7 linked regions of the Macaca fascicularis genome follow. The protein of the gene in region 4 interacts with the protein of the main gene of each other region in a pairwise test. Links are inferred from orthologs where the notes say so. Each region holds a gene or a part of one and is shown on either strand. Other genes may lie near its edges.

Region 1 (3,957 bases), on a different chromosome or scaffold from region 4:
CAGAAGCTCTTTGACATTGGTTTGTGTTGGTGCTCACTTAGGTGGCATCTGAAGATTCATTTTCTCGCTTGTCTTAAGCAGAGACCTAAAACAGCCTTGAGCTATTTTTAATAATGTTGCCACTACTCAACGAGCAGTCAACCCATGGATGAAACAAAAACAAGTGTTTTGTTTTGAGATAGGTCCTTTTTAGCAGACAATCTTCATCTCTAGTACATAGGAAAGTCTCAAGTCTCTATATTGTCTTCAGTGGAATTGGCTAGAATTTTTTAAAATTATTACTTTACTAGGTGGTAGATAAAATGTAAGGGGAAGAGCTATAGAGTTCTTTTAAAGATATATTTTCTTGTCTTCTTAAATCGAGGAAGTTGTTTAAAAATGTTTACATCCAAGTATGCAAATTCGCAAGTCTTAGATTTCTTTCCTGAAACCATCAAATAACACATCAGCATGCGGGCTTAGGAGGGTTGTTACTGGAATAGATGTCATTATCTATCATTTTGCCCATCAAAAAATACAGTAGTGATTACTGCATTGTAAAGGGAGAAAACTCAAAATGATTGTTTTGCATTATCTACCAAAGGCCTGGGAAAGTTGAATAAGTGTTCGTTACTATGCTCAAATAAGGCATTTGAGCCTTACTTGATGGAGGTTTATTCACATTCTCTTTCTGTCACATGTTCTATTTACTTCTTTGAAAATAATCTCAAGTTCAATTACTCTGGTTTTAAAAACATGAAAGACAACTTATAAAATGCTACACTTTTTTCCCCTACAATGCCTTCAGATAATATAAGGCTGGTCACAGCCCATGATATAAAATACTAGCTGTTGACTCACAGTTACACTACAAGGGCCAATTTTACAGACTGCCAGGATAAAGATGATTTTAATTAAATTGCACAAATCCTTTTGTACTGCAACCAAACCCCTACGCAGGCTGACCGACTCTGAGCCATTCTGGCGTGTGTAGAGTTAACCAGGTTACCAGGATTCCTAGTTAACTTCTTTCACCAGGAATGCAATTCATGTTTACCTATATAAGGAAACCTGTTAGACTGACCTGAGTTTGGCGGATTTTCGCGCTGACTGAGAGGCGTGTAAGCACACACCCTGGAGAGGGGGAGTGATTCTGAGCTGGACAGAGCAAGCTTCCTGAACGCCCCAGCCATTCAGCTGATCCGAGGCAAAGAGCCGGCACTTGCCCCAGACCAGCCTGCTTGGAGGACCTACAGGTTTGTCTCTTCCAGATCACAACTGAGGAACAAAAACCCCTGTCCTGGGAAAAATGGGGAAGCCGGTGAGTCTTACCACTCTCTCTCTGCTTGCTTCTGCTAAGTGGCACGCCTGTCTGCTCTCACCCAGGAAGCAAAGTAAAAGGCGTTGCTCAGCCTCTAACCCCACAACTCCTTCCTGAACAAATACAATGCTTTGCGAATACCTCCACACAACTTTTTCTGCCTGTTTTGCACACCAAGAATCCACAGAGGGAATGATTTTTAGCACTTTAGACATTCCAGAGAGTGTTTTTCCTAGGCAAGCGTTTCTATACTATCGTGATGAGCAAACTTTCTCATCTTTGTTACACTCTAAAACAGTGGAAATTAGCCTTGGGGTGCTTTGTGAGGAAGGCTGAGTCCCCAAGGAAGTGATAGTAAATCTAAATGGGGTTCTTAAAACCACAGGCAGTGTGATGGTCTACAAAAGCCTAATTTGTCACTAAAAAGGCAGTCTGAAGGTATCATTTTTCATTCACACAGCAGCAAAATCCTTGCGTCCTGCATATGTAATAAAGGACACCTTCTGAGACACTTAGGAAAAATAGAAGCCGAGCTGGCCTCTTTGTTCTAGACAATGTAAAGAAGCTCGCTCTTGTGTTTTGACAAGGAGCGTATGTCTATTTTTATATATGGCGAGAATGGTGTATAAAGGCTTTATGTCAAAGGTATTGTGGTCACTTGAGTCAAAATCTGGCTATATTCTCTATGTGTACAAAAATCTCAATCTGAATGTAATTAAACATGGAAATGTGAAATTGTTTAACAGACTTGCAGGGAAATTTTAGTTATATTTGGAAACAGCCAATTATAAGAGACAACTGGGAAAGGAAAAAAATTGTTTCAACTGAGTTCTGGGGCAGAGGTAAAACTTTTGCAAAGAAAGTCAATTTTTTGTAGCTGTCAAAAGTGATTTGGAATCAGGTAAAAATTTTTATTTTTATTTTTTCGTGGTGATGTGGTTTTTTGAGTTGAATTAACTTGGATAATTGTGTTGAATGATTTGACTGCTCGTCTTTCAAAGGAATACTGTTGTTTTCTGTCATATACAAACTTAATCCTGAGTTTGGGCAGCAGGTTTGTGCTACTGACTGCAACAAGTGGCACAAAGACTCAATTTCAGATTTCTGATATTATGAAATTAATTACTTAAGTTAATTTAAAGAAAAGTAATCAGTGCAAACAAGCAGATTTGAGAAAATGACCACCTTTTTAAAAAATGCAAGTGATAGTCCATTTCCTAGTGAGACTATTGATTTCATACAGGCATTGGCAACTGCCTAGTCATAGGGACAAAAGCTATGGCCAATTTTCTCTAGGATCTTTGACTCTAGAAAGCATAACTTTCGCAAGGACACAGTTTAAATGAAACTTGTTCACCTCCGTGAGAATGAAACATAGAAAAGCACCGTGTATAATACAATGGACATTTTAGTAAATAAAATTCTTAATAGCACAAGCAGCAGAACAGAAGGGACAATGCAAATGTTTTAAAGTTTATCTCCTCAGTGCTGCTCAGAAAAATATGAGTCTTGACATTCTGTTGCTGTCAATGGGAGTCAGCAACCCAGGAGACACAAAACACTATTTTAGAATATACAGTTAATAACAGATGGTTTAATACCAGGTTGTCTCACCCTGCCGATGAGATGGCCCCAAGCCAAATCAGCCAGCACGTCTGCCGTTTTTCCTGTGAGTTGATATGTACATAGTTATTATGCACTAATTATACTAACAGCCAAGGGAATATATAACCAGAAAGACAGATAAGTCTCCTGGGGTAGGGAGGGCAAGGGGGCGGTGTATGCATAGGGTTTTTAGATCTCATGTTTAGAATTATCCTTGCCAGTGGCATATGAATTATTGCAGATGACTGGGAGTCTCACGGCTAGAATCTACTCATCCCTGGCTCCTCAGCAGCCTGTTTGGGGGTAATAATATTGTTTATGGTATTTAACAGTTTAGTGTTAACAAAGTTCCAGGAGGATTCCTTCTTAAAGATTAAAGTTTTTCCAGTGTCTGAACTAATCCTCCAATTAAAGACAGTTAGGACCTATATTGTTGCATTGACCCTTTTCGAGTCACAGTACTGTGTGCTTGCATGGAGGGTTGAACGATTCAGCAGCCTCCTTAGATCTGCAAGATGTTATTAGGTGCCCTGGTTAAAAGAGGTTGGAAAATACTGGAGAAAAAAAAAAAAAAAAACAATGGGAAATAGGTCTTCTCAGAGCCTTAATATGTTCATTTACTAATACGTGTTTTGACTCCCTGAGAGAAGTATAGTGTGCACCATATGAAGTATGGTTTGCTGCAAACCTACTTGACGGCTCGTTTCTAGGGTGATCATTCTGAGAAACGATCTGATATTATGAAATTAATTAGCTTCTCAATGGATGGACCACAGAGCACTGGTAAATGATGAGTGGGTTGCAGACATACCCAGTTGTTGACCCCTCTTGGCACATGGGCCATCAGGCTGTGGCTGGCCTGAGCTGATCCCTGGAAAGTTATTTCTGGATCACATAGCTTCCTCAGTTTACCTCCATATATGGTGCAGATTGCATCAATTTCTCTGTCATGATGTTTTAAAGTTAGGAAACTGCCTTTGACAATCTAGGCCCAGAATATTGATCAAACCAATCAAAATACCCCAACACTGTATTAACTTGGGCCTGGGGGC
Region 2 (2,657 bases), on a different chromosome or scaffold from region 4:
CAGTTGACATTTTCACAAAATATGTCAAATACAGCTGAAGAGAGAATTAGTGAATTGGAGATAGGCCTGAGAAAATCCCCAGGATATAGTACTTTGATTAGATTGTGTTATGTCTGATTAACTTCGGTAGCAGGTTTAAACTTTACTCAAAAATTTAAAAACATAATTATAGCCTGATATTTGATGACTTAGGGAAATGATGCATCTCTTAATATGTTATGAAGGTGATACTTTGGATAATTGGATATTATTGGACTTTATAAACATTAATAGAACAGCACATAGAACAGAGTCTGGCACATTATAGATACTCAATATTTGTTGAATGAGTGGAATGAATGAATGAAATGTAAGAATAAAATCATAGCTACAACGTGTTTCAGAATTGGGCAGAGGCTGCTTGGATTCACATACCTGATACTAAGCTCCTATTTTTCATTTTAATTTATGGATATTTATTTTAGAGGCAAACCCAATAATCTAGCAAAATATCACTATTCATATGTTTTGCCTAAGAAATATTGGCTTCTGAATAACTATAGATGCACATGTATAAATGAAGTAGTTTTTAGATATATTATCTCTCTCTATATATAATTACATATCTATATATCAAATTATATCTCTAGCTAAATTAGTTTTTATTTCCCTCCATGGTTCTGGGTGAATTGAACAAAGGTTGTATTGTGCTAAGTTTACATTCAAAGGCAGCTTGCACATTTTAGACTTGTCAGTATTAAGCATGTGGTGAGGTTTTAAATTGTAGATCTATTTATAAGAGATTTATAGCAGTTACTATAAAGGATATTATTAGAAAGCAGTTAAGAGCTATTAATAAATGAATTTTACTTATTTTGCTTAAAACAAAAAATGAACACAACCCAAATGACAGTTTTAGTTAGTAATTTAAAATTATTCTTAAATTCTAACTTTTTTTATCATTGATTTCATAAGTGTTGTAGTAGGTGAACTTTGTTGGTGATAAACTGGTGATTCGAGTCTCTGCACTTGCTCTTTTCCCTGAGCAGGTGCGGGCATTCTATGTGAACGTGCTGAATGAGGAACAGAGGAAACGTCTGTGTGAGAACATTGCAGGCCACCTGAAAGATGCACAAATTTTCATCCAAAAGAAAGCGGTGAGTCTTTGTAAGCTGAAGGGTGCCCTCTGCTGGCATGGGAAGACAGTGCAGCTGTGTGGGAGAACCCTAAAAAGAAAGTGCCATTTCTATTGTACTTGACCTAGGAGGACTTAAAAAAAAAAAAAAAAAAAAATACTAGTAATCCCCAACCAACTTCTGATTATTTTCTTTCCGTGTTTTATCTGGTCTGGCATATCCATTGGTCCTTTGCTGTTTGTCCAATGTGTACTAATTTAGTTGTGTTCAGAGTGAATTTTATCCTATGCTGTTTAATTCGGCTGCAGCCAAGTTCTGTGCAAGATAGTAAATGTCCAATATCAAAATTTGAGTCCTGCTGCAATTCTACTTAAACTTTGGATGATAATAAATAAATCAGCTGGTGTGATGGCGTGTACCTGTAGTCCTAACTACTTGGGAGCTTGAGGTGGGAGGATCGCTTGAGCCCAGGAGTACAGGGCCAGCCTGGACAACACGGGGAGACCCTGTCTCTAAAATCAGTCAATCAGTCAATCTGTCTGTCTGTCTTTCTTTTTTGCATTTTTATGGTTTGAAACCTGCCTAAAGGCTTAATGTCATGATACCTCGATCCTCCTTCAGATGCAAACTAGAAATTTGCATGATTTCTGGAATAAGAACTGCAGTGCTTCCAAAAGGCAGGCTGGACTTTTGTGCTAAGGTGCTGGGGTATTTCTGATGGTCGCTCATCGAGCTCCATGAAGCCCTCTCACTTCTGGTTTCCTGGCCTGTCCCAGAGCTAAGCTTTTTGCAAATCTAGAAATCCCCCTTTTTCCTTGGCCCCTAGTTGCTTCTTCTCTGTTCCTAGGGGCAGCTGGGCTAGCAGCTGTCTGGGCTGTGTCCAAGGGCCTGGGTTCAAGTATCAGCAGAGAGCCTGACGGGCTCTCTGTGCAGTAGGCAGGGTGGGATTTATCTTCTTTTACTGGAGAGAATGGATAAGACAGCTTGCAAGTAGCAGAACTGAGCTGGAACCCTTGGCATTCTGCTTTCACATATGCTGAAACTGTAAGGCTTTTATGGGTTCCCAGTGCCATGCCTCCTCTTGCTGTCTGCTGGGGAATTCCTGCCTGAAGTATGTGGAGTGGCGCTGCCATGTACCAGTGTTCTTGTATCCTTCACATTAGGCTGTGTCTGGGCCCGTTTCTCAATATAAATCGCTGTAACTTGTTAAGCGCTTACTCTGAGGTCAGCTGTTTCCATGCAGTAAATGCAGCTCACCTCTCGGCATTTTTCTCACAGCATCCTGTGAGGTAGGTTGTGTGGGTTTTTTTTTTTTTTTTTTTTTTAAAGATGAAGTCTTGTTCTGTCACCCAGGCTGGAGTGCAGTGGCATGATCTCGGCTCACTGCAACCTCTGCCTCCTGGGTTCAAGAGATTTTCCTGCCTCAGCCTCCCCAGTAGCTTGGACTACAGGCATGCCCCACCGTGCCCGACTAATTTTTGTGTTTTTAGTAGAGATGGGGTTTTGCCATGTTAGCCAGACTGGTCTTGAACTCCTGACCTC
Region 3 (3,418 bases), on a different chromosome or scaffold from region 4:
CTCTTCTGGTTGGCGCTATGTCAAGGTCCGAGGACACTGTGGCAAACAAAGACATTCCTAGTCCCTGCCAACCGGAGCTTATGGTACAGTGGGGGAAAGATGTTAAAAGATATGTCATTTAAACACAACATTTCAGTGTCGTATGTGCCACAAAGAGATACAGGGAATTTGTGGGGATGGTCCTGATTTAGATCTGGAGAGGAGGGAAGGCTTCTTTTGGAATATTTAAGGTTGGACCTGAAGGATGAGTCAAGGTATGTAGACCAGGTGGAGAGGAGTGTTCCAGGCAGAGGTTAGTGAGTTTGGGGCCACTGTGCTGGGTGCAAGGGGTGGTATCTGGTAAGGCTGAGAAGTAAGGCCGGTAGGAGATGAGCCTCTTTCCAGGACTTTCTTGGACTTGGGGAGTATAGGGCTCCTTTGCCTTGCGTTGAGAAGTGGTAGTTGCAAAACTGGAGGTTATCTTCCTGTGTGTTGAGGTGGTATCTGTCATCCCCTTTGCACCATTCCAGAGCCAGATGAAGTCAGAGCTGGCAGCGGTGGCCTCCGAGTTTGGGCGGCTGACACGGTTTCTGGCTGAAGAGCAGGCAGGGCTGGAACGGCGTCTCCGAGAGATGCATGAAGCCCAGCTGGGGCGTGCGGGAGCTGCGGCCAGTCGCCTTGCAGAGCAGGCTGCCCAGCTCAGCCGCCTGCTGGCCGAGGCCCAGGAGCGGAGCCAGCAGGGGGGTCTCCGGCTGCTTCAGGTGAGCAATGTCCCCTCCCTGTTCCCCCAGCACTCCGTGTTGGCTGTCAGGCAGTGCTTACCAAACACCTGTCCAGAGCTGCCTCTTCTCACTGGGAGGAACCCACAGTGATTGAACCTGAAGACCAAAAACATGTTTTAAAGCTGGAAACAGTTAATGTCGAATGTGGTATGTGTGACGATTATACCAGTGAAAAGCATGAAGATTCGGTTGTAGGAGAGGTTTAAATGACAGTTGAGGAAAGGCTTTTTGACAGTGACATCCTGAAAAAGGTGAGCAGGTCATATTGTGGAAATGACAGGATTGGTGGGCTCACAGCAGGAGAGGCGAGTTAGGCATGGCGAGGCATGGGGTGGTTGAAGTGGATGTGTGTTCACTGAGGCCGTGAGCGTGCTGCCTCTCCCTTCCTGCTTAGGCTCAGTCTCTGACTGGAGATCGGGAAAGCTGTGCCTGTGCAGCTGACGCTCTTTATCTCTTTCTCCCTCTCCCTCTTTTTGTTTCTCTTATTCCCAGGACATCAAGGAGACTTTCAATAGGTGTGTTCCCGCTCTTTGCCCTTTGTGACCCAGTGGCATCTGGTTCCCGTCCCTGCTTCTCTTGGGTATCCCTCTCCTCTCCTTCTTCCCCAGGACCTGAGTTTCCATCTCCTGGACCCTCCTCTCCTTCCCCTCAGCTTTTGCTCTTCCCTCTGGGAATATCATGGTCCCACCCCCTGCCCGGTCCCCTTCCTCCAGGTGTGAAGAGGTACAGCTGCAGCCCCCAGAGGTCTGGTCCCCTGACCCGTGCCAACCCCATAGCCATGACTTCCTGACAGATGCCATCGTGAGGAAAATGAGCCGGATGTTCTGTCAGGCTGCGAGAGGTAGGGAGGTCACCTCCACGACCTTCCTTTGCCTTTCCCTTCACAGACCTGAGACTGGGTCCTGAGGGAAGTTGGGTCCCAGGGAAAGTGTAGGGGTTGAGATGGAGCAGGATACAGGCAGCCACTCAGGTTGAGGTTTCAAGCCATTAACAGGTAGTCCTAGTCCAGGCAGGCCTGGAGGGTGGGGGTGGGGTAGAGTGGCAAGAAGAGCCAGGCTGGGGGAAGACCTGTCAGGTGTCTGAGGAACAAGAGGAGAGAGAGGGAGCCTGTAGGAAGCTGAGGCTGGCCTCTGGGATGGTGTGGGGAGCTGAATTCAGGGAGGAAGCGGGCAGGAAAGGCCCAGTCTGTGGAGTTGGCTGCTGACAGGGGAACAGCCGTTCCAGCCCTGGCGTATTTGTCCTCCCTCCTCCCAAGTGGACCTGACGCTGGACCCTGACACGGCTCACCCGGCCCTGATGCTGTCCCCTGACCGCCGGGGGGTCCGCCTGGCAGAGCGGCGGCAGGAGGTTGCTGACCATCCCAAGCGCTTCTCGGCCGACTGCTGCGTACTGGGGGCCCAGGGCTTCCGCTCTGGCCGGCACTACTGGGAGGTAGAGGTGGGTGGGCGGCGGGGCTGGGCGGTGGGCGCTGCCCGTGAATCCACCCATCATAAGGAAAAGGTGGGCCCTGGGGGTTCCTCCGTGGGCAGCGGGGATGCCAGCTCCTCACGCCACCACCATCGCCGCCGCCGGCTCCACCTGCCCCAGCAGCCTCTGCTCCAGCGGGAGGTGTGGTGCGTGGGCACCAACGGCAAACGCTACCAGGCCCAGAGCTCGACAGAACAGACGCTGCTGAGCCCCAGTGAGAAGCCACGGCGCTTTGGCGTGTACCTGGACTATGAAGCGGGGCGCCTGGGCTTCTACAACGCAGACACTCTGGCCCACGTGCACACCTTCTCGGCTGCCTTCCTGGGCGAGCGTGTCTTTCCTTTCTTCCGGGTGCTCTCCAAGGGCACCCGCATCAAGCTCTGCCCTTGATTATCCTGCCACCCGCGGGGGCCCCTCTGGTCAGCACTTGGGGGGCGGGTGGTGGAGGGTGGCCCGTAAGTTTGAGGGGCTCAAAGGCTCTTCCCACTGTTTGTCACTGTGTTGCTTCCCACTCCCCCTTGACCCCAGGCCCCTGCTTCTCCCTCTAGGAGCCTAAAGAACCCTCCTGGCCTCCAGCCCGGCCTTCTCTCACCTCCTATGTCTGTCCAGCAGGTCTGCATGGGTCCCTGATAATGAGAACAGCTGCCTGGTCTTCTCTCCCAGTCTGCCTAGCCCAGCCCTGGGACCGGAATTTGAGTAGGGGATGAGGGGAAATTGTAATTTCATTCCTTAAGTTCCTTTTCCCCACCCCTGCTCTTCAGCCTCTGTCAGTTCTGAGGCTGGAGGGTTTGGGCAAGACAACATCCCCATTCCAATTCCATCTTCTGATGCAAATTTTAGCTGAGGGATTTGGAAGCCATTTGGGGAGGCAGGCTGGGCCAGAGGGTAGAGCTGGGTAATAAATGTCTATTCTCTGGGGGAGGAGGGATTCTAAACTTTCCTTCCATCCTCAATTTCTACCTCCATAGACCGGCCAGAATTTAGCTTCACTTGAGAGAGATCTGGAATGGTCGCCATGATTGAAACCACGCACCATTACATCGCCCAATAAATTATTTCTTCCCCCGTCCCCTTTCCAGCACTCAACTGAGGAGCAAAGCTCATCCCACCCCCACCCCTCCCAGGTCTGTTCACTGCCAGGCTCCTTTCCCTTGTTCAGTGGAGCTGGCTTTTCTCCCAGCCCCTTTCCA
Region 4 (2,477 bases):
AGGTAGATCAGGTGCTGGAAGAGTTTGGTTTTAAAATGGGACCTTTTAGAGTGTCCGATCTTGCTGGGTTGGATGTGGGCTGGAAATCTAGAAAGGGGCAAGGTCTTACTGGACCTACATTGCCTCCAGGAACTCCTGCCCGAAAAAGGGGCAATAGGAGATACTGCCCAATTCCTGATATGCTCTGTGAATTAGGACGATTTGGCCAGAAGACAGGTAAGGGTTGGTATCAGTATGACAAGCCATTGGGTAGGATTCACAAACCCGATCCCTGGCTTTCCAAATTCCTATCACAGTATAGAGAAACCTATCACATTGAACCACGTACCATTAGCCAGGATGAGATCCTTGAGCGCTGCTTATATTCACTTATCAATGAAGCATTCCATATCTTGGGAGAAGGTATAGCTACTAGCCCAGAGCACATTGATGTTGTCTATTTACATGGATATGGATGGCCAAGGCACAAGGGCGGACCCATGTTCTATGCTTCCACAGTTGGGTTGCCCACAGTTCTAGAGAAGTTGCAGAAATATTACAGGCAGAACCCTGATATTCCCCAACTGGAGCCCAGTGACTATCTAAAAAAACTGGCTTCTCAGGGAAACCCTCCCCTGAAAGAATGGCAAAGCTTGGCAGGCTCCCCTAGCAGTAACTTGTGATTCAGCCTTCCAGATTATGCCTCACATGCTAGCATCAGGTAATGCTCACTGAATTTCAGTGAAATTAAATCAAAAATCCAAAGTAAGATTGTTCTGAAATACAAAGCAAAAGAAATAATCAGTAGAGTCTTCTGTGTGACGACTCTAATGGTCAAATCTTTAGGAATGTGCTTCCTATGCCTCTGAATCTGTCCTTATCAGATAAATTCAATGCATGAACTTGTGTGAATGTAATATCATAATCGCTGATGAAAGAGGCTCAGGCATAAGTTGAGATTCTCAAATGTTTTGATTATTGGATACATGTGTCATCAATTAATAAATGATAAATGCAGCTAAGTCATACATTGATTTTGACTCCTTTCAATGTCACACACATAGTATTGATCAGAAATCTTATGAATCATACATACACTCAACAAACATTGAAGTCGTAGGAAAAACATGGTTGGAAATTGGTAAGGGAACTGAGTACTTCAAACCAGCACAGGGAACTCAGATTAGTATGGCAAGCCTTTCCTCTTCTGGTCTTTCCTCTTCTGTTTATGAAGAAATAATAGAAAGGAGTAAGTCGTTAACTTAGTGTAAGAAGGGTCTTAGAGAACATCTAACCTTCTGGAATTTCCCAATTCTATGATAGAGTAATGACGCCAGTTTCCCTGTCATGACAGGCCTCTGTGATGTTACATATGGAAATGGTTGAATCTTGAAAAATCTAAAATTGTTGCAAAACATATTTTGTATAATTTTGTTATAAGAGTTCTTCTCTTTTTACTTTTTGCGTTGTGTAGTCAAAAATTAAGGGGCTGGTCAATACAAAAACTTGTACACAAATATTTATAGCAGAATTATTCATAATGGCCAAAAGTTGGATACAACCCAAATGTCTATTAACTAATGAATAGATAACTCTGGTATATCCATACAATGGACTATTATTCAGTCATAAAAAGAAATAAAGGACCAGGCACAGTGGCTCACACCTGTAATCCCAGCACTTTGGGAGGCTGAGGCAGGAGGATTGCTTGAGGTCAGAAATTTGAGACCAGCCTGGGCAACATAGCAAAACCCTGTCTCTATAAAAAATACTTCCTGTACATTAGTGGTTGCCTAAAGCTAGAATTAGGGATGATGGATGGGGAGTACAGGATTCATCTAATAGGTACAGGATTTCTCTATGGTTCATGAAAATGGTCTAAACTTATTGTGGTAATGGTCACATAACAATATATTAAAAACTATTGAGTTATATATTTTAAATGGGTGAATTATATGGTATGTGAATTGTATCTCAATAAAGTTGTTAGTAAATAAATGGGGCTGAAGATGTTATCCTTCATTGTGGTGGAAATGAACTTTCACAATATTTTCACCTGTGAACCCAAACAAAATGAAAGTTCTGATGGAAAAATCTTGAATGAATAGAGTATAAGTTTTCCGTTGTTAAAGAGCAAACAAAAAACCAACAAAAAATCCAAGTGTGCCTTGAATTGTACAGAGCACAATTATTACGTTTGAAATATATACTACTTAATTTTATATAATTTGGTTTGTGAAATTAAAGACATCAATGAAAATGATTCCTGAAAGTAGTAATTTTGTCTCCAAAGTGACTTGTTTTCAAATTAATGTTAAAAAAAAACCCACTAACTTTTTCTTCAATCCTGGAATTAATTTTGAGTTCTTGCAACTTATTTTCACCCTACACTAGCCTCTAGATTGAGGTTTTGAAATTAGAGCGTCTATGAATAGATTTTATCAGTCAATAACCCCTGAAATGTTATGATAAAGTTTGTGTATATGTATCTGAGTACA
Region 5 (4,051 bases), on a different chromosome or scaffold from region 4:
TTCTATATATACACACACATATATACATATACATATATACACATACACGTGTATGCACGTATATATGTATACACATATATACATATACATATATATACACACACACACACATACACACACAGTCAGCTCTCTTTATGTTTCGCATCTACAATTAAACCAATCAGGGCACAAAACTTGAAAAAAAAAGACAAAAAAAATAAAAAGTAACACGGATTTTTAAAATTCCATATAACAAGTATTTACATAGCATTTACATTGTATTAGGTGTTGTAAGTAATTAAGAGATGATTTAAAGTGTACCAGAGAGTGTGCAGGTTATAAGCAAATACTATGCCTTTTTATATCAGGGACATGAGCATCTGCAGATTTTGGTATCCTATGCTGAGGGACGACTGTATTACCATAAAGAATGTGCCCCTCAGTAGGGGAGTCAGCAACAAAGGCACAGAAAAGGGAACAGAAAAGGCAGGCAGCAGCCACAATGTCCCTCGGACTGTGCTCCACAAGCATGTATATCCATTGCTTGATGGCATCAGTCACTACAATGAACCTATCTCCTGCTGCTCTGTCTCCAGGCTTTCCGAGCAAACTTCTGCCAGTGATGGGGCTTGATCTACAAGGAGTCTGGTCTCCAAGGAGAAACAATGAAATGACTTGATAATTCTATTCTCAATTATTTTTTAGTCTGTTTTAAGACTGGACTTTAGGCCCTGACTGACATTAACCAATCACCCATGGCACCAAATTGTGAGCTTATTTAAGCAGAGAGCCATACCCTGAATTACAGGGCTAGAGGAACTATCTGCCTGTGGAGAATCATCTGAATGACCAGGCCCTGACAGGCATCTCTCTCCTAATTGCAGGCTTTTTTCCTGCAGCAGCATTAGTAAGTACATATCATGAATAAATGCCGCACCTCTGCAACACAGAATCTTGAAAATGAGTATTTCTATCATAAAATGGCATTTGCAAAAAGGCATAGAGGAGTGTGTCATTATTCCAAGGTGCATGTAAAACACAAATAAAAACACTCGTTATACTTATCAAGTGGAAACATGTAAATATTTCAGTTAAATCAATGTAAGATGAACTTAAAAGAGAATCTAAGAAAAAATGCTTATGCACAAGTTAAGCACCCTCACTAACTCCAAAATTTCTCTACATTCACGAACATTTTCAAAACAGTCAAATTTGTTTCTGCCCCTTGTTATCTGGCTAGCCTTTTTATTATAAGAACAGAATTAGATCCACAGTAGCCATTGTGTTATCACGTGGTCTGAAATGTTAACTGGTCAGGCTGATGGTTATTAACCACTTCTTAATGGACTCCACAATATTCCCAAGTAAGCAATCAGACCTTTAATTTCAACACAGAACTAATGTTCTACAGCTCTTTTTCAAAGAGTTATCATAATCTGAACGAGCCCACAAAAAACAGAATCATCTGTATCATCACCAATAATTCATACTGAGCATTTTACACTGCTCTGTACAGGGCTGACAATACTAGAGGCCACTTCTACCGTGGGAGTTTCTTAGGTTTTTTCAGTAGTTAGCACTGAATGAAATGTAAAAATTTACATATAATTAACTCATATATTTCTTCCTATCTACTATCACTGAATCAGATCCACGACATTTGCTGAAGAATCAAAAGAAGGATGAGGAGGGAGGAGAGGAACAGCGGTGGGCATGGGGGAGGGGATCGCCAAAACCCAACAGGGAGCCTGGGCATGTAGATTACATCAATTTTAACTCAGAGAAAAGCCTCTTCCAGAATTAACAGTGTAGACCCACTGCATGTGCACGGTGACTCTTCCCGATGTATGAAAGGTCAGCAGTGTCAGGCCCCCAAATGAAATTTAATGAAAAAGACGTTGTTCTCACCAGCCAGTAACGCCACCCATTACAATCTGGGTAGCTACTGAGTATTTTTCTACCATAGGTCCCGAACTGTGGCCAAACACTCGATTCCACCACTGGTGTCTTCTTGCATACTCAGTTAAATCCAACACTTCATAAGAGTCGTCATCACTTTCATATTCTTCAAAATAGCAAAATGCAAAAAATAAATGTAGAGTCAATCAAAAGTCAGAAATGTCCCATACATCTTTTTAAATATCTGTTACAACTCATTACTTTTGGCCTACAGCTAAAAATGCCCACATGGAAACTACTGACTTAACTCAATTCCTGAGACCAGGGCCTCAAGAGTAAAGGGCCCTACAACAATGACCCCCATCTGCTTTCCCAAAGGCCCAGGGACCAGCCTGGGGTCACGAAGCCAGGGCCAACTCAGAAATGACACAGTAGTGAGGGGTCACCCCAACCTCCAAATCTTAGTAGGGTCAAGGTCAGAGCAGGGTCCATTTTCATCAGTGGAAGGAATGGAGGTGGGGAGGGGTCCTCCTCTGAGATAACTAGTCTGGAGCCCAGCGAAATCACTTGAGTCTAGACGTTTAAAAAAAGAAAATAATAATACATTTGAAGATGGAGATAAAGGGCCGGAGGTGAAGGTAAGGCAGGAGGTAGGTAGGGCTGTGCTGGGGGGGGGGGGGGCTCTCCGCTTGAGTTCCGGAGGGGGACGAAAAAGTCTAGCTCGGAGGGGGTGCTCAAAGGGGCTGACTTAAAAAAATATATACAGTTCGAAGAATCCTAGGGCAGGGGAAGGAAGAGGTGCCATGGGAGCAAGGTCGAGAGCTGTGAGCCGCGTCCCAGATACCACTTCAGGCCCTCGCCGCTCACCTTGGGGAGGGGGGTTCCGGGTCGCCATGATACCGCCAGCGGCCAATTCTGGAGTGGTCCCCGCCCGCCCTCCTGTCCCTGGCACTTTAAGGGCCGCTCTAGGCAAGGATGGAAATCTATGGTCTCTTTTTCCCTCCTCCTCCTACTCCAGGCGCGTAGTCCTGTCTCCGCCCCCTTCTCTCAGCGCAGGACCTTCTGCCTTCTGCGCACGCGCGAGACTCCGGAATGTGGGCAGGGCCGGTCGGATCATAGCCCCGCGAGAGGGCAGGGGACTTGTAGTCCATTGTCTTCCGCAACTAGGAAGGGGGAGGGACCGCCCCTCCTCGAATTTCCATAACTTGAATTTGATTATTTTGTTTTAAAGAGCCTTAAGGGCTGAAGGTATGGGGGGAAGGGCGCTACATGGTGGTACAAAGGGAAAACCAGCTGGGTATTGACAAAGACTCTCTTGACCAAACTTTAGTCAGGAGGCTCCTCTGAGCTGTTTTTGACTGAGTCTCCTCCTTGGGTCGTCTTTGACCTGCCTAGTCCATTTGTGGCAAGAATCTAGTTAAGTCAGTTTAGTGAGAACTCCCCCACCCTTAATATCGAATCACCCTCGGCCGGGCGCGGTGGCTCAAGCCTGTAATCCCAGCACTTTGGGAGGCCGAGAGCTTGCAGTGAGCTGAGATCTGGCCACTGCACTCCAGCCTGGGCGACAGAGCGAAACTCCGTCTCAAAAAAAAAAAAAAAAAAAAAAATCGAATCACCCTCAATATCCGATCAAATTCCTCAACCCCACCCTTGATATCTGATCATTCTGCCACCAGCAAAAATCCTGTTAAATTGACTTAGCAAGAATACCTCTACCCCTCATGTCTGCTCTTGGTAATCTTCCACCCATTGATCCATTCACTCTGATCATTTACTATAAATTCCTTGCTATAGGCCGGGCGCGGTGGCTCAAGCCTGTAATCCCAGCACTTTGGGAGGCCGAGACGGGCGGATCACGAGGTCAGGAGATCGAGACCATCCTGGCTAACACGGTGAAACCCCGTCTCCACTAAAAAAATACAAAAACAAACTAGCCGGGCGAGGTGGCGGGTGCCTGTAGTCCCAGCTACTCGGGAGGCTGAGGCAGGAGAATGGCCTAAACCCGGGAGGCGGAGCTTGTGATGAGCTGAGATCTGGCCACTGCACTCCAGCCTGGGCGACAGAGCGAGACTCCGTCTCAAAAAAAAAAAAAAAAAAAAAAAAAAAAAAAAAAAAAATTCCCTGCTATATTCAGAGTTGAGACCCATCACTCACCCCTATTGCCATAGTCTTT
Region 6 (2,799 bases), on a different chromosome or scaffold from region 4:
CGGGAACTGGAGGACCGATTTGCCAGTGAGGCCAGTGGCTACCAGGACAACATCGCGCGCCTGGAGGAGGAAATCCGGCACCTCAAGGATGAGATGGCCCGCCACCTGCGCGAGTACCAGGACCTGCTCAATGTGAAGATGGCCCTGGATGTGGAGATCGCCACCTACCGGAAACTGCTGGAGGGAGAGGAGAGCCGGTGAGGGGCCAGGCAGGAGCCGGAGTGGGGAAGTGGGTGGTGCTGGGTGGCCCATTCCTGTCCCCAGGAGGCTACCTCAACAAGACATGGAAACAATTTTTTTTTTTTTTTTTTGAGACGGAGTTTCGCTCTTGTTGCCCAGCCTGGAGTACAATGGCACCATCTTGGCTCACTGCAACCTCCACCTCCCGGGTTCGAGCAATTCTCCTGCCTCAGCCTCCTGAGTAGCTGGGATTATAGGCACCTATCACCATGCCTGGCTAATTTTTGAATTTTTAGTAGAGATGGGGTTTCACCATGTTGGCCAGGCTGATCTTGAACTACTGACCTCAGGTGATCCACCTGCCTCAGCCTCCCAAAGTGCTGGGATTACAGGCGTGAGCCACCGTACCCAGCCTGGAAACAATTTTATACAAGAGGCCACTGCTGTATTAATTGCAGAGAATTAACCAAGGCCACCTGGGTAAAAAGCAATTTAATTAACAGCATTTATAAAAAGAGAAATATAAGTATTCCCTTATCCACCTTCAGAATTAAGAACCAGTAGCAAAAAAACATATTCAGCAACCAATAATAAAATATTACTGCCAGTCAAGGGAGAGATGAAAGCAGAATGGGGAGAGATGAGGAGGGAAATGGAGGGAGCAGTTAGAGGCAAATAGAGAGAGGGAGGGAGAGAAGCCTTGCACAGGGATAGGCTAAGAGAAGGTAAAGAGATGCATACAGAAGGCATGAGTGTACACACACATGCACACACGTAAGCACACGCACATGCTCGGAGGAAAAGACATAAACTTCATGCTCAGAGCAACCCACCTCTAGACAGAAAACAATATACAACTGGAAAGGGACACCAGGGAACCTTGTGGGATAACAGAAATGTTCTATATCTTTTTTCTTTTTTTCTTTTTGAGACAGAGTCTTGCTCTGTTGCACAGGCTGGAGTGCAAGTGGCGTGATCTTGGCTCACTGCAACCTCTGCCTCCCAGGCTCAAGTGATTCTCCTGTCTCAGCCCCCCTAGTAGCTGGGATTACAGGCGTGTGCCACCACGCTCAACTGACTTTTTGTATTTTTAGTAGAGATGAGGTTTCACCATGTTGGTCAGGCTGGTCTCTAACTCCTGACCTCAAGTAATTCGCCTGCCTTGACCTCCCAAAGTGCTGGGATTACAGGCATGAGCCACTTCACCTGGCCTAGAAATGTTCTATATCTTGATTTGGACTGGTAGTTACACAGACGTGGACATTGATCAAAACTCATTGAATTGTACATTAAAGATCTGTGCATTTCACTGTATGTAAATTTAACCTCAATTTAAAACAGATCAATTACTCCAAAAACTGGTACCCCCTGATACTCATAAAAATAATATCTGAAATTTTTGAAAAACAGAAGACATGTTTAGATATAGGTATACACATAAAGAGAAACTTCAGATTTAGTAAAATGACGTCTTCATGTGATGGCCTTTGAAGGTAGCTAAAGGCATGTTACGTTTTCCCAGCATTAGGCCTAAATAGTAAGCTCTCAGAACTGGCCTGGCTGGAGGGTGGGCATGAGCAATGGATATCACCCACAGCTGCTACTGATATGACTTTCAGTGCCAGAAGCAAGAAGGAAATCCTGGTGCTCTGGAGGGTGCAGTGGGGTTGCGCATCCTGGTGTCATGCCAGCAGGTCACAGTTGAAATGAATGATCCTTCCAGAAGAGACTATTCCTGGGACAGCTCTAGCTGACCTTTGACCCCATTCCTTGAGCAGTATGGGTGGCGGGAGTGCTGGGGTCCGTGGGACTGGGACAGCTGAGGATGGGGTTTAGAAAGGACCAGGGTGAGCCTTGATGGGCGGTCTCAGGGAATGATGGGAGGTTTCTTAACTCTTAGGAGGCTTGGTCTCTTCCCTTTTAGGATCAATCTCCCCATCCAAACCTTCTCTGCCCTCAACTTCCGAGGTGAGTGTCTGCTGGCAGGTGGAGGCTGGAGTTGCAGGGGCCAGGAGTCCAGCATGGGCACTGCCCGAGGCCAGCCAGGAGGGAGGATGGGACCCTGGGGCCAGGGAGGACAGACCTGGAGTCTGGGGAAGAAAAAGGGGGCCCCTGCGGGTAGGTGGGGGAGTTTAGGTAGAGGTGGATGAGGCACCTTATGACAGAGAGAGCTTTTTATGTGATTATATTGTATAGTATTTACCATGTCCCCTGCACCTTCTTGGAGTATTGGGCATCAGGAAGCAGACTCTGTTCTGAATCCCAGACTCTGAAAGTAGCAGGAGTGTCCTTGGGGACCTGGCTTCAGGAAGATCTCATACCACCTGCCTTCTAAGGCACCCACGGCCCATTGTCTGTTTGGCACATTGCCAAGCACCACCTTGGTTGCTTGTTGAACACCTCCAGTTTGCTGGAGCAAGATGTTGGATGCACGTTGGAAAAGAAAAGCCAAATCTTAGCAAAGCCAAACAATGAAAAGAATGAGCTCTTAGGGCATTCTGCCATTCTGACATTAGTAATATACAGATCGGGTGGCTTTCCAACCCCAGAGAGCAGAGAAACACACGATAATGATGCATTAGGAAAGCAAGTCGGAGTCCTTGGCAGCTTCTCCTTTCC
Region 7 (3,320 bases), on a different chromosome or scaffold from region 4:
GCCAGTGCTTGGCGTGCGGCCAGGGAAAGGGGCAGCAGGGCCTGGTGGCAGCAGTGGTGTCATCAGGCCAAGCAGGACTTGCAAGGAGGAACTGGTGGGGGTAGGGGGTGTGAAGCCCCCCCAGTCCTTGCTGAGAGAGACCTGAGTCTGAGGCAGCTGCTGGATATGCTTGGCATCCCTAGCTGTCTCTCTGGGCTGGGTCCTATGCTGGACACCAGGGTGTGGCAGAGAACAGGACGAGCGAGCAGAGCTGAGAGGAGGGTGAGCTGTGGGCCAGTCAGGGGAAGAGGACCAGCGGCCCTGCTGGGGAGGGCCGAGGGTGGCGCTGGCCTGGGCGGGGTGGGCACCCTCAGCGGTGTCCCTGAGGCTAGTTGGGCAGTCATAGGGAGACCACTCCAGACGCCTCCTCCCTCCTTTCCCAAGGGGGAGCCTCAGGCTCTGGCTCTGCAGGTGTCTGGCAGCCCCACACTGTTGACACGGGCAAGCAGCAGGCTGGCACGGACCTTTACAAAGATAATCTTTATTGATAATCACAGGCCACAGGGGTGAGCCCTGAGGTTTGGGTTCTGGGGTGAAGGAGAACCCCTGTCCCCTGCCCTGGGCCTCTGCTGGCTGAGGAGGGACAAGCTGAGGGGGCCCCCATGGTGCACAGACAACCAGGGCCTCCCCAGCAGGGCAGGAGTGTGGGTGCCACAGAGACAGGCCCTTTGCAGAGCTGACCTGGAACCCACCATCCCCACAGCCCGTGTGAGCACAAAGCCCCTGGGTGGGCTGTGCCCTGGCTTGTCAATGATGCCAGTAGAGGCTGGCAGCCGCCCCTCTCGGCACCGGGGACAGTGAGGGAAGGCAGCTGCTGCTGTGAAGAACAAAGACGCTCTGAGGACAGACTTGTCGGGGCTGAGGTGAGGGGCGCACAGAGGCAGGCCCTGCCCGTGGTCTGGTCAGCTGTCCCTGCCACCGCTACTTTTCTGGTCTGAGGCTGTAGCCTTGGTCAGGTTCCCAGCTTCCCTCTTGAGGACGCTGAGCAAAGTCTGGGAGCTCTCCAGAATCTGGGGCCAGAGAAGTGAGGAAGTTGTTACTGTTCACCTGCTGGGAAGTTCCTAAGCCCCAGCTGTCCTCACACTCAGGTTCTGGGACCTGGCTGTGGGTGCTGTAGCCAAGGGATCCTGTGCGGGGGAAGGCGGAAGCCCAAGGGGACTGGCAGACGGGGTAACAGGGCCCTCTTCCCTCCTGAATCTGACCCAGAACACTTCCTCCCCACCCTCAAAGCCAGGCTGGGTTAGCACTGGCCCAAGACGTGGCTCTTCACACTCTAAGCAGAAAGAACCACATGGCTAGCGAGAACCGGATGAAGACCAGGACCCAGGATGCCCCAGGTCCCCCAGACAGCCCCACGGTCACTCCCGCAGCAGCCTGGGTTCCTCAATGGGCCTGGCCACGCTGCTCCTGCCCGACATGTCAGCGAGGCACAGACTGCCCACAGCTGGGAGCCCCAGACGGTCCTGACGCCCTGCCGCGGCTACACCCCTGCCGCGGCTATCCCCTGATGCTCCGCCTGGCCTCCCGAGCTCCACCTTGAGGTAGGCGGCCTCCGTCTCCGCGATGGTCCGGTCGAACTCGTTGCGAGAGGCAATCTTGCGTGCCAGGTTCTCGTTGACGCGGGCCAGCTTCTCCGTCAGCTGCCTCACCTCATTCTGCAGCCGCTGCTTCTCGTCCTCCTCCTCCTGGATCTGCCGGCACAGCTCTTCCCGCTTCTGGCACAGCTCCTCTATGCCTGGGGGGCCAGGAGGGGCGGGGCTGTGGGCCCAGGGCAGGAGCGCGGCGGCGGAGGGCGGGCCTCCTTCCACCCGAGGAAGCCAGAGTCAGGCACCACCCCCGAGCACCCGGCGCGGGGCCTGCGAGCCAACGAGGGCTCGGGGCCACGGACACCCAGCCCCCGGCACGGAGGGCTCTGCTCAGCTGCGCGATGCCCGCAACTAGGCGGGTCCAGGGGCACCCCGCTGCGAGCCGGGAACCCGGCCCTGCGGCCCTCCCGACCTCCCCGTCCCGGCTGCGCCGCTCACACTTGACCAGCTCGTTGTTGTAGTTCTGCAGCGCCGCGCCCTGCTGGGTCATGGTCTACGCCGCCCGGGGCCCCGCCACCCCAACCGACGCGGAACCAGCGCTGTCCGCGCCTGCGCACGACTCCCTGACGGCGCGCCGAACTACGCGTCATCGCTGAGCGCCTTGTGCGCGTCATGGCTGCGCGTGCAGACTTGCGTCATCGCTTTGCGCCGTGCCGAGGGGATCTCGGAGCCGGTGGCTGCAGATGGCGGCGGCAGTTGTGGTGGCGGAGGGGGACAGCGACTCCCGGCCCGGACAGGAGTTGTTAGTGGCCTGGAATACCGTGAGCACCGGCCTGGTGCCGCCAGCTGCGCTGGGGCTGGTGAGGCCTGGGAAGAGAGCGGCGGCCCCGCGCGGAGTTTCCGGGACCCTATGCACTTTGGGGCGGCCACCTTCGGGTTCATACAGCTCTGTCCGTCATCCGCCTCTGCCCTGTCCTGCCGCTTTCCACCGCCATTCCACTTCATTTCGTTCAGCTCCGCTGGCAGCCCTTCCCTAGTTTCGGCCCAACGTCCGGACACCACGGACAGGGGGCAGCGGAGTTTTTGCAGCCTACCCCTCAGCTTCTTCCCTTCCCCGCCTCTCCCCACCTCTATGTTGTGTTCCCCTCGCTTCACGGTTTTCTGCGCTCCAGGTGTCTTCCCGGACCAGCGGTGCAGTCCCGCCAAAGGAAGAGGAGCTCCGGGCGGCGGTGGAGGTTCTGAGGGGCCACGGCCTGCACTCGGTCCTGGAGGAGTGGTTCGTAGAGGTGCTGCAGAACGATCTGCAGGCCAACATCTCCCCTGAGTTCTGGAATGCCATCTCCCAATGCGAGAACTCTACGGATGAGCCCCAGTGCCTTCTGCTGCTCCTTGACGCTTTTGGCCTGCTGGAGAGCCGCCTGGATCCCTACCTGCGTAGCCTAGAGCTGCTGGAGAAATGGACTCGCCTGGGCTTGCTGATGGGCACTGGTGCTCAGGGGCTGCGAGAAAAAGTCCACACTATGTTGCGCGGAGTCTTGTTCTTTAGTACCCCCAGAACCTTCCAAGAGATGATCCAGCGTCTGTATGGGTGCTTCTTGAGAGTCTATATGCAGAGTAAGAGGAAGGGGGAAGGGGGCACAGACCCGGAACTGGAGGGGGAGCTGGACAGCCGGTATGCCCGTCGCCGGTACTACCGGCTCCTGCAGAGCCCGCTGTGCGCAGGGTGCAGCAGTGACAAGCAACAGTGCTGGTGTC

The links.
Region 1: the proteins of EHHADH (region 4) and MID1 interact in binary tests that used the Homo sapiens proteins (3 or more experiments, as listed by UniProt). The two-hybrid records come from large-scale screens. The link is inferred for Macaca fascicularis from reciprocal best matches to the Homo sapiens genes EHHADH and MID1.
Region 2: the proteins of EHHADH (region 4) and CAT interact in a two-hybrid assay, tested with the Homo sapiens proteins (2 studies listed by BioGRID, with this or other methods). The link is inferred for Macaca fascicularis from reciprocal best matches to the Homo sapiens genes EHHADH and CAT.
Region 3: the proteins of EHHADH (region 4) and TRIM41 interact in binary tests that used the Homo sapiens proteins (3 or more experiments, as listed by UniProt). The two-hybrid records come from large-scale screens. The link is inferred for Macaca fascicularis from reciprocal best matches to the Homo sapiens genes EHHADH and TRIM41.
Region 5: the proteins of EHHADH (region 4) and FUNDC1 interact in binary tests that used the Homo sapiens proteins (3 or more experiments, as listed by UniProt). The two-hybrid records come from large-scale screens. The link is inferred for Macaca fascicularis from reciprocal best matches to the Homo sapiens genes EHHADH and FUNDC1.
Region 6: the proteins of EHHADH (region 4) and DES interact in binary tests that used the Homo sapiens proteins (3 or more experiments, as listed by UniProt). The two-hybrid records come from large-scale screens. The link is inferred for Macaca fascicularis from reciprocal best matches to the Homo sapiens genes EHHADH and DES.
Region 7: the proteins of EHHADH (region 4) and SSNA1 interact in binary tests that used the Homo sapiens proteins (3 or more experiments, as listed by UniProt). The two-hybrid records come from large-scale screens. The link is inferred for Macaca fascicularis from reciprocal best matches to the Homo sapiens genes EHHADH and SSNA1.

Annotation. Positions count from the first base shown.
Region 1 is NC_088395.1:10,521,261-10,525,217, reverse strand, and holds the start of MID1 (E3 ubiquitin-protein ligase Midline-1), read left to right. Parts: upstream 1-1,157; 5' UTR 1,158-1,300; intron 1,301-3,957. UniProt on the Homo sapiens protein: Has E3 ubiquitin ligase activity towards IGBP1, promoting its monoubiquitination, which results in deprotection of the catalytic subunit of protein phosphatase PP2A, and its subsequent degradation by polyubiquitination.
Region 2 is NC_088388.1:31,108,615-31,111,271, reverse strand, and holds part of CAT (catalase), read left to right. Parts: intron 1-1,028; coding exon 1,029-1,136; intron 1,137-2,657. UniProt on the Homo sapiens protein: Catalyzes the degradation of hydrogen peroxide (H(2)O(2)) generated by peroxisomal oxidases to water and oxygen, thereby protecting cells from the toxic effects of hydrogen peroxide.
Region 3 is NC_088380.1:188,328,865-188,332,282, forward strand, and holds the end of TRIM41 (E3 ubiquitin-protein ligase TRIM41), read left to right. Parts: intron 1-509; coding exon 510-740; intron 741-1,253; coding exon 1,254-1,276; intron 1,277-1,474; coding exon 1,475-1,602; intron 1,603-2,016; coding exon 2,017-2,618; 3' UTR 2,619-2,776; downstream 2,777-3,418.
Region 4 is NC_088376.1:97,125,400-97,127,876, reverse strand, and holds the end of EHHADH (peroxisomal bifunctional enzyme), read left to right. Parts: coding exon 1-662; 3' UTR 663-1,977; downstream 1,978-2,477. UniProt on the Homo sapiens protein: Peroxisomal trifunctional enzyme possessing 2-enoyl-CoA hydratase, 3-hydroxyacyl-CoA dehydrogenase, and delta 3, delta 2-enoyl-CoA isomerase activities. Catalyzes two of the four reactions of the long chain fatty acids peroxisomal beta-oxidation pathway.
Region 5 is NC_088395.1:44,596,139-44,600,189, forward strand, and holds the start of FUNDC1 (FUN14 domain-containing protein 1), read right to left. Parts: upstream 2,801-4,051; 5' UTR 2,774-2,800; coding exon of another isoform or gene 2,746-2,773; 5' UTR 2,643-2,745; exon of another isoform or gene 2,452-2,642; 5' UTR 2,377-2,451; coding exon 2,331-2,376; intron 2,045-2,330; coding exon 1,888-2,044; intron 1-1,887. UniProt on the Homo sapiens protein: Integral mitochondrial outer-membrane protein that mediates the formation of mitochondria-associated endoplasmic reticulum membranes (MAMs).
Region 6 is NC_088386.1:115,353,388-115,356,186, forward strand, and holds part of DES (desmin), read left to right. Parts: coding exon 1-197; intron 198-2,104; coding exon 2,105-2,148; intron 2,149-2,799. UniProt on the Homo sapiens protein: Muscle-specific type III intermediate filament essential for proper muscular structure and function.
Region 7 is NC_088389.1:2,127,392-2,130,711, forward strand, and holds SSNA1 (microtubule nucleation factor SSNA1), read right to left. Parts: upstream 2,189-3,320; 5' UTR 2,116-2,188; coding exon 2,064-2,115; intron 1,775-2,063; coding exon 1,575-1,774; intron 1,050-1,574; coding exon 942-1,049; 3' UTR 501-941; downstream 1-500. Other genes in the region: ANAPC2 (anaphase-promoting complex subunit 2), read left to right, coding at 2,309-2,425, 2,738-3,320. UniProt on the Homo sapiens protein: Microtubule-binding protein which stabilizes dynamic microtubules by slowing growth and shrinkage at both plus and minus ends and serves as a sensor of microtubule damage, protecting microtubules from the microtubule-severing enzyme SPAST.